2 linked regions of the Drosophila melanogaster genome follow. The protein of the gene in region 1 binds, or shares a complex with, the protein of each later gene. Each region holds a gene or a part of one and is shown in the gene's direction. Other genes may lie near its edges.

The links.
Region 2: the proteins of DIP-theta (region 1) and dpr2 are in contact, whole or in part, in a crystal structure (PDB 6EG1), measured with the Drosophila melanogaster proteins. Residues at the interface, in NP_723103.1 of Drosophila melanogaster: Lys160, Ile161, Ala162, Leu164, Val166, Thr168, Gln169, Thr170, Ile171, Ile174, Ile179, Thr180, Lys181, Asn182, Met211, Gln213, Ile214, Asn215, Thr216, Asp217, Met219; in NP_001014480.4 of Drosophila melanogaster: Asp135, Lys136, Ser139, Ile141, Lys143, Asp145, Leu146, His147, Ile148, Ala151, Leu154, Thr155, Tyr156, Ser158, Asp159, Glu189, Gln191, Asn193, Glu195, Lys197.

Annotation. Positions count from the first base shown.
Region 1 is NT_033779.5:5,654,530-5,661,117, reverse strand, and holds the start of DIP-theta (Dpr-interacting protein theta), read left to right. Parts: upstream 1-2,557; 5' UTR 2,558-2,723; intron 2,724-6,588.
Region 2 is NT_033779.5:10,960,387-10,966,961, reverse strand, and holds the start of dpr2 (defective proboscis extension response 2), read left to right. Parts: upstream 1-2,808; 5' UTR 2,809-3,736; intron 3,737-5,594; 5' UTR 5,595-5,737; coding exon 5,738-5,876; intron 5,877-6,575. Other genes in the region: Tmem214 (transmembrane protein 214), read left to right, coding at 553-969, 1,052-1,170, 1,243-1,357.

The DNA of each region.
Region 1 (6,588 bases):
TCCTTTTTATACGCGGTATATTACCCAGTTAGCTGAATATTCTTGAGTTATATACGAAAATAATAAGAAGCAAACATGATTTATCTCAGATATTTCTGGATGTATTGTCTCAATGCGTTACTGCTGTATTTTTTTGCACTTCAACTACAATTATTTTGATATCACTTTCATACAAGCAAGTAAGACTCATTCTGATTTGTTTAGCCAATTGGGTCGATTGAGCAGGGTAACTTTTGATCGACTCCAGTTGAAAGCTCTTCTACATATTTTCACTCGCTCCAGTTTGTTGGGGTTGTCATCGTTGCAACTTCATTGTCAAAGTTGGCAAAGAGTCTTGAAGGGAAAGTTGGAGTGGGAAACTACAAAGAAATGCACAAAAACTGCGTTGTGCAAATACGGAGAACGAGAGTGGCGAAAAACGATGCAACGGTCTGCCAGTTGGGCGCTAATTATATGTAAATAGCTGGAATGAAACCGCCGCTCGAGGTGCCAGATAATTGGCCCTCATGCAACTGCCAAGTATAGTTTACAGCCGAAGTGATCAAGGGAAACAGTCTGCGAAGGAAAAATGCTCAAATTGTCGAGGCGTGAAGGACGACTCTTCTTTACGGTAAAGCTTTTGGCATGACCCCTTAGGAAGAATTAGAGAAATTTAAATGTGGCTACTTTGAGTGCCAAGGACTGTGCCCTAACTTGTTACTTAACGTGTCCTAGGCAATGACTGTTAGCTTAATTTACGGAAACTTAAATGGTACGCAATGCAATAGCAATTAGCTCAAATGCTAGATGAAATTCCTTTGCATTTAGGTCATTAGAGAAGAAAAATTTCATAACACTTCTCGGTGTGCGTGAGAAGGCATTTTCCCCCTTGGCCACTTCTTCTCCCCGGAGACAACATTCAGGACATAGAACAGCATTACAAAATTTCCCCAAAAAATTCGTAGAAATGCCAAAATAAACGAGTGGGATCGCTGGAATGAGATGGCGCAAGGTAAGGATGTGGAGGATGCTACCCACATGAGCGACAGTAACCAACACGTACAAAACGCATAAACATTCTTGCCTAAGTGAGTTTGTACATAAATTTCGAGCAACTTGCGTTGCAGGATGCGTTACAAGGAGACGATTTTGTGTGGGTCTCAGGATCTGTTTAAAGGGAATGAAGGGGGAGACTGTAGCAGTCTACTGTGAGTAGAGCTAAACTTACGCAAAAATCCATGGGAAACCAAGTGAGTTTTGAAGTTTAGACGGTTGGCTCAGTTTCGGTATCCTAATTTATTTATGCAGCCCCTGGCAAATGCAACTTTACTTAGGATGGATATCACTCAGCTATTCATCGTGTTAGCGTCAGTGCTTATTCGAAGGTATTCAGATGCAATTGTTTTATGTTCGAAAAATATCTTAACACTAAAAAATTTGTGCTACTAGCGTTTACTTTTCACCTTTGAATTTAGAAGAAAGCTAAGAATTTATGAAGATTTCCTACCAAATAACTAAATAGCATTTATTATTTTTATGACATCAAATTTTTAACTACCCAACTATTTAATACCAATTACCGACTACTGGTGTGTGCAACTTGAAAGCTGGAATTGAAATTATTCAACGAATCATGGCAATATCATTGGCTGTTTGCATTATGCAAGCATACCCGGTCCTTTGATGCTTGATGGCATTTCCCGAGCACCTACACACACGCAGCCGGAAAAGAAGCAACTTTAGTAGCATATTTCACGGCGCTGCGTCCGAAGAGAGAACGCTCTAAAGAGCACCGCTTGCCGAAGAGAGAAGCCTTGGGTAAGAGAGACCGAAGCGCACATTACTGACCTACATTAAGTAAAAATTTATTTATGCCGGCTGCCAAATTGGTTCCCCAAAGCATTGGCAGGCCCCGCTGTCCCCTGGTCCCTGGCTTTATGACTATGACGGATATGATTGTTGGTCGGAGTTTCCCTTTCCCCTCCTCGTACTTGCCCACTATTACTGCCTTTGTGGTTGTTGGCTTAAATAATAATGGCTTGTAATTTGCATAAATAATGTTTGATTTTTGCATTGATGAGGGAAGAGTGTGTTCCGCGTGTGTGTGTGTATTTGGGGAATTTTAAATGATTGAAAGCTCGGTCATCATTGGGGAATGCCGGGCTAGATGGCACGAAATTTTTGCATTTAAATCGATAAATTAGTGGAAAGAGCTCTAAAAATCAGTATGCCAGGATATGAGTCGTTTGGTCTATTTGGAAGTTGCATTGTAGATTTAAGCCCACCAAATAGGAAGAATAGTTTGCTGCTATAAGGGTCGACTTCGATGCCCCAACAATGGTTTCTTATCCTGCCACAGCACTGTTAACCAGCTAACAGAGCTCTGGCTCTGTTGCTCTCTAACGGGACCTGGTTCTCTTTGCCTTTGGAGTTCGGCTCGCTTCGGCAAGTTCGCGAGTGCTTGCCGAACTCCACGAACTCCGAGCCGAAGAGCGCTCGGTAGTCGACAGTCGTGACGAATGACGGCGATTATCGCCCTTCGAGGACTTTGTGTAATCAGTGCGTCCTGCTAAGCAAATTAGTTTAGTATGGTTTTAGTGCGCAACGCTGACGGTCGCACCAGTTCGCAGCTCTTAACACGTTGGTGTCGAAAGTCGACGCGCTCGCGTTTCGTCCCTCGCTTGAATTGAATGCCGCGAGTCGCGAGTGCCTGCGATATCATCGGAGGACAATAGCTCAGCACTGTACGTAAGCGGAAGGAATGGCCAGAATTAAATAAATAAATAAGTGCAAGACACAACCGGAGACGCTGGCTGCCAACTTCAATTTGGTACTTCATTTTTCACAGCCCGCTTAACGCAAATTGTGCCGGTCCTGGCTCCTTGCTGGGTACTAAGGTCCTGGTGCATACCCGTGCATTCTCCGCTCCCCTCCCCTGTTGATTGCATTCTTGGCGGCAAGTCGAGCGTGGCTCATTAAATGGCTGGCGAAAAAAAATGAAAGAGGAGTGCCGACTTGCGGAAAAACAATCACAGCATTTCTCTCGGCTGGTAGAGCCTGCAAACGGCATTTATAGAAGGGCCCTAGCGGCGCTGGGAAATTGTGGTATTTTATTCGTTATTTCACTTTGACTGTCACGCCAATTGAATTAATTCCACCGAGGAATTTAGGATTTAATTTGACATTTAATTATTGCAATTAAAAGTGGCCCGCAAAGCGCAGCATCAACAAAAAATGTCGTTTCAAAACAGGATTATGATCAAACAGAACGCAACGAAATTATGAAATTTTGTTTGAAAAAAAATGAATTACTTTCGAAAGTGGTTGACAACATAAAGCCGTGTCACATTACAGCAGCGGTTTGTTATAAAACGCGTAATAAATCTAAGAAAAAAGGAAAAAAGCTTTTATATTGATGAAAGGAAAACTTAAACAACAGGGTCAGAAAAACAATTATTGTATACAATAAAGGTTAACATTAATGGCAAAAGGATACATATATATATATATTTATATATATATATTTGGTTTTTATGCCTTAATAACTTGTTAGCTCTGCCCAATTCTATGATTTGAAACCCCTAGGATATTTTGTCTTTGTATTTTGTATATTAGTATCCTAAAATATCCTTCTCGTTATCAACATAAACAAAATAGCGATTTATTATTATTACAATTCCTTTGACTTCTAGCATTGCCATTGCTAGCTAAAAATATTCAAGCCTGAATGATGTGCTTAACAAATTAAGTTCCATGCAACATGATTTCTTAAGCAACGTTTATCCTTTATTATATGCATTCACTACTTTCGTATATACACATATAATTCAGAAAAGTTTGCGAAACGTCGAATACTTGGTATCAGCAAACTTTTTTGATAACTTTACTTCACTTGTAGCCCGAAAACAGTTTGAAGTGCAGGACGAAAATCACCCAAGGACGAGCTTTAACTAAATTATTGGGAGCTCGCGTCAAGTGTCAGACTTTGGGGGGGAAAATGGAATAACAGTTTGCCTTTGTTGTGTCTACAAATTTGTGGGGCGCTGTTCGTCAGCGCTAATGAATAGGTGGGGAGTTTTGTGCACAATTATCAAATAAAACGGGTAGCCGACCGCACAATTACACACAATATTTTCGCACACGCACCCAAAACGGAAGCCGTATAAACAACATGAATATGAAATTTAGCTGCTAGAAGCATATACATGCACATACATACTATAGATGCACAGCTCGTTGTGGATGGCCGTCCAATAAGCGACATAAAATATGCGAGCACTCACACACACTAGCGCACGCGAGCGAACACTAACACATGCATATGCACATGCGGATGAAGCGCCCGCAGCGAGTGCGGGAAATATTTTATGCACTTTATGCGGCCTGGACGGCGCTTGCTGCTGGGGATCGCTAATTAGGCAATATGCACTTGATTGTGTTATAATCATTAAAACCGGAAATGCATGGCCAACCCACAAAACACAAACGAGCGCAAACGCTTGGCCACACACACACGCGCACACATACGAATATGCGTGAATGCTTTCAGGTGGCTGCAATAGTTCACAGCATACTTTCGCACAGGGCCAAAAAGTGTTTTACCAAAGTTTCGAAATTTCATCACAAGAGTAAATGGGGTCGGTCTCACCATCCTGTCCGATTTTGTTAGTTTCCCATTTCACTCTGATTAATTATTTGGTGAAAAATAATTAAGTCTTTGAGGGGCTGGCAAGGCGTCGGAAAAGCAGCTCGTTCTCCCACAAAATGACGGAAAGTCACATCAATGGCTCGGCGGAAACGGAAGTGCGGGAAAGCAAACACGTGTCGGAAAAATGTCTGCTTGCAACAATGTGTGCTCGTACAAGTATATGTGTGCCAATGCACTTCCGCACACCCACACACCCGCACAGCAGGCGCCCATGTTGCATATGTAAAGCGGCTTGTAAGCTGGCCAATTTTTTATGCATTTATGCATTTTCCCCCGCTGCAGCTGCATCCCGTCCCCCGCTGACCGTTTTTTTTATTAAAGTTGCCCGTTAAGAAAAGCCCAGAAACCGCAGCAACAAACAGGAACGCCCACTGTGCGAACTGCATCGCACGTCCAAACGCCTTTTTGTAGGTTAATCAAATGCAAGACGGGGAAAATGCACAAGCTGCATGTCAGTGGGAAATGCTGCTTGTGGCTAGTTAGTGTGAGCGGGCGTTGGAGCAAGCATTTTGCCATCTTTTTGTGTACGCATTTCGCATGGCTTGTTATATTAAAAGAAATTTCCCAGCTGAGAAGAGACAAGGCAAGGAAAAACAAGCAAGCATCATGGCAACTGACAGCCAAGATGGACGGCTCTGTGATTTGATTTTTATTTCGAGCGATGCACAACAGCAGCTGGCAGTCAGTGGACAGATGAATTATGGCAAATGATGTAAACGCTCCCAGTGGATGTGGCTCTAATTAAACCGAGGGCCAAGAAGCACTCATAGCCCAAGTACTCATTTTCTCCTTTTACAATAGATAAATGACGTTTCGCAATTTCTCAAAAGTTTCGACTACCCTTGCTGGTTGCCTAAAACCAGAAAAAAATATTTCCTTTACTTGCATATTTATTGATTTTCAAGCCACAAGAATTTTTCGTAACGAATAGCTGTAAGTCTTCATAATAGGATGACCAAGAAATGTCGCGTCGAAAAGATAAATATTCCAATTCATCTGCAATCCGAGCAGATTTTGATTGGCACCAAACGCTATAAAAGTTTAAGCTTAATTTAATACATTTTCTGCATATTACCAGCGACAGTCACCAAGCTGCAAAAAAAAAGGAAAAGCACAAAATCCCCACCACCATTTCAGGTGACATAAACAAGCCTTTTATTTGGCATTCTGCTGCAGTTTTTGACACGCGAAAGTAGCAAAACGCTTTCAAAAAGAGAATGTCAAATAAAACACGGAAAGAATGCGGATAAGAGGAAAATTCACAAAGAAAAGAAATTGAGGAAAATATGGATGCAGACGGAACTGAGCGAAAAACTAGCTTTGGGTATATGTATATTAAGCACGAAAAGCTGTCACTCGCGATTGTCTCGACTATTGGATACCTACTTTTTTGTTAGCTTATTGGCGAATAACTTATTAATTCTTATGCGTTTCACAAGTAGCATAAGTACAATAGCAATACTAAACTGGATTTTCCTGTCTCAGTGCTGGCAAAGCTTAATATGATGGGTATGCTTAAATATGCATTGCAAAAATGTAAGCTGCTTTCATTATACCTTTTATACCCTTTGCACAATATACCCCACTCTTTACGATTGGCGGGCACAAAAATGCAGAGTCCAGAGGGAGATATCATTTATTATTTCATTTCCGAAGCAAGACAGCGCAAAAGCCCGAGACAGCAGGAATGCCGTGGATTAGCAACTGTCATTGACAGTTGGAAATCATAGACGCCATTTGGCTGGCTGCAAATTGCTGGCCGCATTTCTTTGTTTGTCATTTAACGATTGACAGCTGGCGATAAACAGAACGAAACAAAACGAGACGGTTCGGGGACTTGGCCAAAACAAAGGCTGCCACACAACGAGCCAAATGAGAACGGTGGAAGGTAAGGCGACTGC
Region 2 (6,575 bases), 5.3 Mb from region 1:
ATCACAATGAATGAATACATGTTTTCTTCATTAAATTTGTGCAAAACCTATACAAGTGTTCCTAAAAATTGAAAAAAAAGTATCTACACCAATTAAGCATAGCCTGCATATTGAATATAAATGTTTTTAATCTGGACAAAATGGTATTATAACTACGTATTTCCAATTTTTAATTATCCCCATCCTCACTCGCGGTTTTAGCTTACTCTTAAATCTTAGGTCATCGAGCTCAGTCGCAAAAAAAGCTCAGTTTAAAAGCTCAAAAAGTCTCGTCATTCTTTTTAGCAAACACAATTGCAATGATAAACACAATAAATAATTAAACATCTTTTGCGAACAGCTGAGGAAATCTAGAAATACTCTTCATAATCGAAACTCATTGAAATTAAGTTAGAAAATGGCTCAGGTTAAACCGAAAAGTAACAAACAGAGCGGCAAACCAGTGCCGGCCGCCAAAAAGGTAAAAAATTGAACTCAATCAAATGATTCCACAATATCAACTATCCCCAGCAATTAAGATTCTTAATAATTTTCTAATTTTGTACTATGTAGAGCGTCCAAGAGAAGAGCAGCGCGCAGCAGAAGAAGAACAAACAGAAGGCCGCGGCAGAAAAAAAGAAATGCGGATGCTGCAAGTGGACCTTGGGTAGCATCTTCATCATCGCCCTGATTGCCGGAGCTCTGTACTACGATACCGAGGTGAACGGCAAGGGCGTGTTCGAGAAATCGGCCACCGGCAAGGTGCTGAAAAATGCCGGAGTCCTGCCGCATGTCCAGAAGTCCTGGTACACGGTCATGGGGGCCGGAGCGCGGGGCTACAAGTGGGCGGAAGTGAATGTGCCGCCGTACGCCGAGCCGGTGATCAAGACCACCTGTGACCTGTGGAAGCTGGCGAGGAATGCGGCCTGCAACGCTTACCAGAACGGCAAGGGATACTTTGGCGCCAAATGGCCCGTTGTGGCAAAGTTCGTAAGTGTCTTTTAGTCGCCATGAAGATGAGGTCATGGGCAAACCAGTTTTGAATTAATAATACGTTCCATCTATATTTTAGATTGACCAATACGTGCCCAATTCGTCTGGCAAAATCGAAGCTTTTGCCGCTGGCGTTAGCGATTTAGCCGCCAGCAGCTATGAAAAGGCTGCAGCGCTCATCAAGGAAAAGGTGCTTGTGTAAGTATGCCTGCCTGCCTGGCCTTTGTTGTCTTTGAGAATGCATCCCTTATGATTGTGATCTTTGTTTAGTGGCCGTCTCTCGCCCGAGAACATCAATCAGGCGCTGAACCAGACGCGTAACGCCGCCCTGGAGTACTACAACCAGTTTCACAAAAAGGTCGACGCATACGCCAAGCTCAAATGATTTTAAGCGTCAGGAACGCTTACTTCTCGAACAGCAACATCATCAGCAGCTGCAGCAGATGCAAACAGAATACGCGTCATAGTAAATAGTGAAGGAAGCCCTAATTTTTCGCAAAAAGTTAAAAAACCGGAAAATGTTCTATAAGTCGAAACTCAAGAAGTCATTCACATTTATCAACAACTTCTCGTCAAGTTTAATTAAGAAAAAGCAATACGAGCAAATCTTTGTGGATGCCGATAGTACACTAACAATCTAGTAAATTCAACCTCGATACTGATAAATTAGTGAAAGACACGAGAAATTTTCTGTTGTAAAACATGTGTTTAAACATTTTTCTCCAAGTTGAGAAAACATTATTTTTAAATTCGTTTACAACGGCATGAGAGTTTTGTGAAAAGTTCTACCATTGAAATTTTGTAATTGTAATTATTAAAGTGCGTTTTTTGTGGCGATGCGCGAAGTGTTAACTCTATTGTGTTAACTGAACTTAACAATTCCAACTGCATTTTGAAGGCAAACAATAGATTCAAATATTTTTATACTTTTATTCATAGTTTTCTTGCATTTGTGTGTACATTTCTGTAGACTCCTCCCCAATACTTGCATAATAGCGCGATACTTTTGATTTGATTTTAAATCTCATTTGTATATTTAATGGAAAACACGATTTTGCATAAATAAAATAAAATTGAAAGATGTGAAGTAAAGGCGTATTTCTCAATGTTTTTCTGTGCTTGATTATGTTTTTGGGGGCATATTGATGAATCGTAAGATTCTGAACACACCTGTTGGCATTGGCAGCATGGCTTGCACTACACACTTGTTTAAATTGGAAAAGCGGCTTGAAAGCAGTTTTTATTTCCCAAAAGAGACTAGAATTTAGATCAGTAATATTTCCTGGGCAATTTTTCTAGAACAGTTCTCTCGAAACTAAGCAGTTCAAATGTTTTGCAAGCAGTCCAAGAACTAAAATTTCCCTAGGTTTTTGTTACCCATATAAGCAGTGAAGAGAAATTCCTAAGCAGTGTATCATAATTCAAAGCAGTGCAAACAACAAAAAATTGTTGCGTATTTGAAAAATAACACCTTTAAAGTTGAAGAAGTTTTAATTATATTTCTAAAATATTTATAAGCTTTGGTATCTTCATGAAATGGCATGATTGGATAGAATCTTTTCCTAATTGGTACAACAAAGTAGGGTTCTCATTATAGTTGCTTAAATTCTCCCCGCAAAATTTCCCTTTTAGACGTTCATCTTGGAGACAGTCGCCCCTTCAAATACAAGGATTTTCCCGAATTCGCCGCAAAGTCACCCGTTTTCGGAGTGCGGGAGTGACAATAACAACCAACTCGTCGTCCTGTTCGTGGCTGGCAGGACTCGGTTCACATCGGAACGATTACTTGCAGCGCGGAGGAAACAACAATACGGAAAAGCTCCGGCCTCGGATGCCGCAGTATCAAATGAATTTCAAGTCGCGGCGCACGTGTTTCGTCCTTTGGCGCGGATGTGACTACGAGTCCTTATCGCAGATTGTGGTCCTGGCCACGAAAGGATATCTCGTAGTTGCCGCATTCGATAGCGGTGTCGCGGTTTCCCAACTTTCCCAACTGCCGCATCTGTTTTTTCAACTTGTGCGCGAGACGACACTAAGATCGTTCGGCTTCGATTTCGCTCAGTGTATAATGCTCTTGAGGCAAAAGTGAAGTTTCGAATTGGAGGCCGCTTTATGCGGCCAGTGAAAGATATTGTCCCCTGAATTAATTGTCTGTTAAAAACTAACATTGGATGTTTAAATGGTTAAATTCATGGGAAATATTCGCCCTGCTGCTGCTGACACCAAAATTGAGTCGAATAACAGCTTTAAGTACATTAATATTAACCCACCCACACTGCTCTTTCGCATTCAATGTGGCTCGATTTTCCCTCCTCGAAAAGTGGAGCACAGATAAATCAGAGAAAAACATTTATTTCTCATCGGAAATGAACTCGGACGGGCGACGTGATTTAATGCCAATCGAAAATGCATTTGTTACTCAGGTTTCTTGCAAATTATACGCTTAGCGATAGGATTGAAACACAGAAAACAAAACACATTTTTTACAGACTTCAACTGAAACTCCAGACAGTTGCATAAACAACAACCAAGAGTTTCGTGCAAAAATAAATGTTAAATCAAAGTTTTTCCAAGTTGAGATGGAAGTTTTTCCAAGTTCTTCTTCGCCTTATCTGCTTTTGAAGTTCACTCGCATTTTTCCTCTGAAATCCAGGGCAGAATGAAAAATCGGAAATATGTACCTAATGAGCACGTGTGTTACGGATTGACTTTGAAGTGAGTCCTCATTTCTAATGAGTTCTTGTGGTGATATGAAGTAGGAAAGGTAATTAATTCACTAAACCACAAAAAAGTTAATGAGGTGATGCGGAAAGGTCAAAGTTGTTCCGTCAATAAATAAACTTTCCACAGACAGTCAATAATTGGTGTAGTTTTGGACTTTTAAAACTTTTGCAAACATGTACACATCCATTTGTTAGCACTGGCTTTGATTTAAAGCATTTTTTGCACATATTATACTATATAATAAAGTATAATTACATTTAATATTTAAGCAAAAAGGCAAAAGGCCGACCTTGTTTTAGTAAAAACTCGTTAAGTACGACAGTAAAAAAAATTTTAAGGAAAACTTCTTGGACAATTTGCCAGCTGCCTTTAAAAGGACTCGACAAAGGCCAAGGACCTCGCAGGACTCTTTGCATGTGGCATTAATTAAGTGCCGCTTGAGGGAATAGTATTAGATGAGCTTGTCTCTCATTAATCTTATAACCTTATAAAGAATGGCTTGAATAGGGAATAGCAGTATATACATATGTCCGGGGACAGCCCCCAAAAAAAGAAGACATTGAAATCGAACCGTTTTCCTCGCTCTTTTGGCCGCCTTTCGTGTTTTTCTAATTGAATTTTCTTTCGAGCTTTATGCCTTGACTTTTCTCCTTAAAGATCAAGTGGTCTCCAGGTGCTTTTGTGGCTTTTTGGCCGGGTGTCCAGGTGATTAATGTGCAACCAGGTTTGCTTAATTAACTTGCATTTATGCCTGAAGTACACAACGGAAGACAAAAGCCAGTTGCTAAATTTGATAAGTGGGCTTAGTTGAATTTGAGTGACTCTGCCATAGAAGTACAATATATATCATTAATTAACAGCAGACTGTACTTGTGGCACTTAAAATGGACTAGCCTAAAATTATAAATGCATCATTATCGCGATGAAAGTTTGGCATTAAATTATCCAAAAAGTAACAATACATATCCAAAACCACTAAATTCAATTAACCAACGATGCCATGAAAATAACAATTGCAGTGCGCATTTTAAGCTGATTCCATGTTAATTTTACCACCATTGTTTGATTGGCATCGCAACAAACAACAACTCATTACACAACTCCAGCAACGGTTGAAATCATTTAAGTGCTGTGGTAATGATAACTGAAGGGTGGGTCGAAGGGCATGGAATCGATATTTATTGAATACAATATCTCTTGGATCGTTCGTGGAGCACGATTGTAACGTGAAACAAAGCGCAGTTTGTGGAGAAATTAACATTTTAATTGGTTTTTGACCCTTGCACATTTCGTGAGTGATCAAGGCTACACCTTTCAGTTGCACAATTTATGTGTTTTATGGCCAAATAAAAAACTATTTGAGTGCGGCTTGCGGGTTGTAAATATACAAATTGCGTTGGTTAAAACTGCTCCTGTGACATGGTGGCGATAAGCAACTTGCCACTACAGACAATATATGAGGGCTTAACAAATACAAACGTAAACATTCCGAAAATGTAAAAATAAATTAATGCCGTTGCAATTTGATACAGGATAAATGATGTGAATGAAGGACATTTATAATGAAGGCCTACGGTTAATATCAATGTTTGCTTCAGTTAAATGCTGTACGAACATGGAATTCGATGGACGAAATTGGTTTTTCACATACCCCAACTATAAACTTGGCTATATATGGCTTGAATCCTTTAGAATTTGCAAAAAAATATAACTATTTAATTATATTCTTGTCACAAAAAAAAAAAAAACACTTTTATAATTTTTCAATGATTTATGTTAAGTTAGGCAGCAGTGCAATGAATGGCTGCAATAATTCAAATTAATTCATTTCAAGTGCTTTTCATGAATATTTCACAAATAATAGCGTTAATGAAAATGTTTCCTCCCTCTCTTTATAGAATGCACTTCAAAAACGATTTAGGAACCAAACCATTAGCAGTAATGTAAACCAAAATACGTAAACTTGTGGGGCTAAATTACACTCATCTAACCGCCATTGAGGTGAATAAATATAAATAAGTAAGATCCGGCTCGCAGGACCATGGCTATGGAGGGAAAATGCTTCGGTTGCATCGCAACGCCAATCCTCGTAATAATGATAAGCATTTCGAGAGCTTGGACAATGCAACAACAACACTTGAGTCCTGCCATCCAACAACATCCTGCAGTCAAATCGTTGTGTAAGTAGATCTCACTCGCAATTCACACATGTTCAATTTAATAGTGCACATATAAAAGCATATTTCAATACCATCTCTAAGATATGAATTATGAATGTATGTGCTATAAATTAACAATGACCAACGGCCGTAGTTAAGTTTATTAAAATTTTACATATCATATACGTATTTACTAATCACAATTGTAAGCCAAAATTGACTATCAAGGAGGAGGCACAAGTTAATTAGTTGACTTCATTTCGTATGAGGCAGACGGTAAATAGCATAATATATATCCAGAAAAGTCACTATTGAGAAATGACTTAGTTTCCTTGATAAATCAAATATGGTATCTTTCCTCTTCCTGACTTCATTCCCAGTGTATGAGCGCCTTTTTTTTTTGGCCTAATGCAGTAAATGCCTAAATCAATTATGGCCAGCAGGCGAAACAGAAAACTAGGGCGAAAAAATAGGCAAATAAACCAAATGAGCGAGCAAAGAATAAAATCTACTTAGCACATGTAGACTTTAATTAAATCATGGCCAAGAGCAGAGTGAGCACTCTGACAGGAGACACCGACGAGCCATCGCGACCTTCATCCTAATCTGCAGACACCCAGCCGGGGCACATCCTTCGCCTCCTTCTTGGGGTGAGGGGGGGGGGAGGTCTGGAGGCGGTTCTGAGCCCCAAACTCTGTTGTGTTTGTGGCTTTCGGGCGA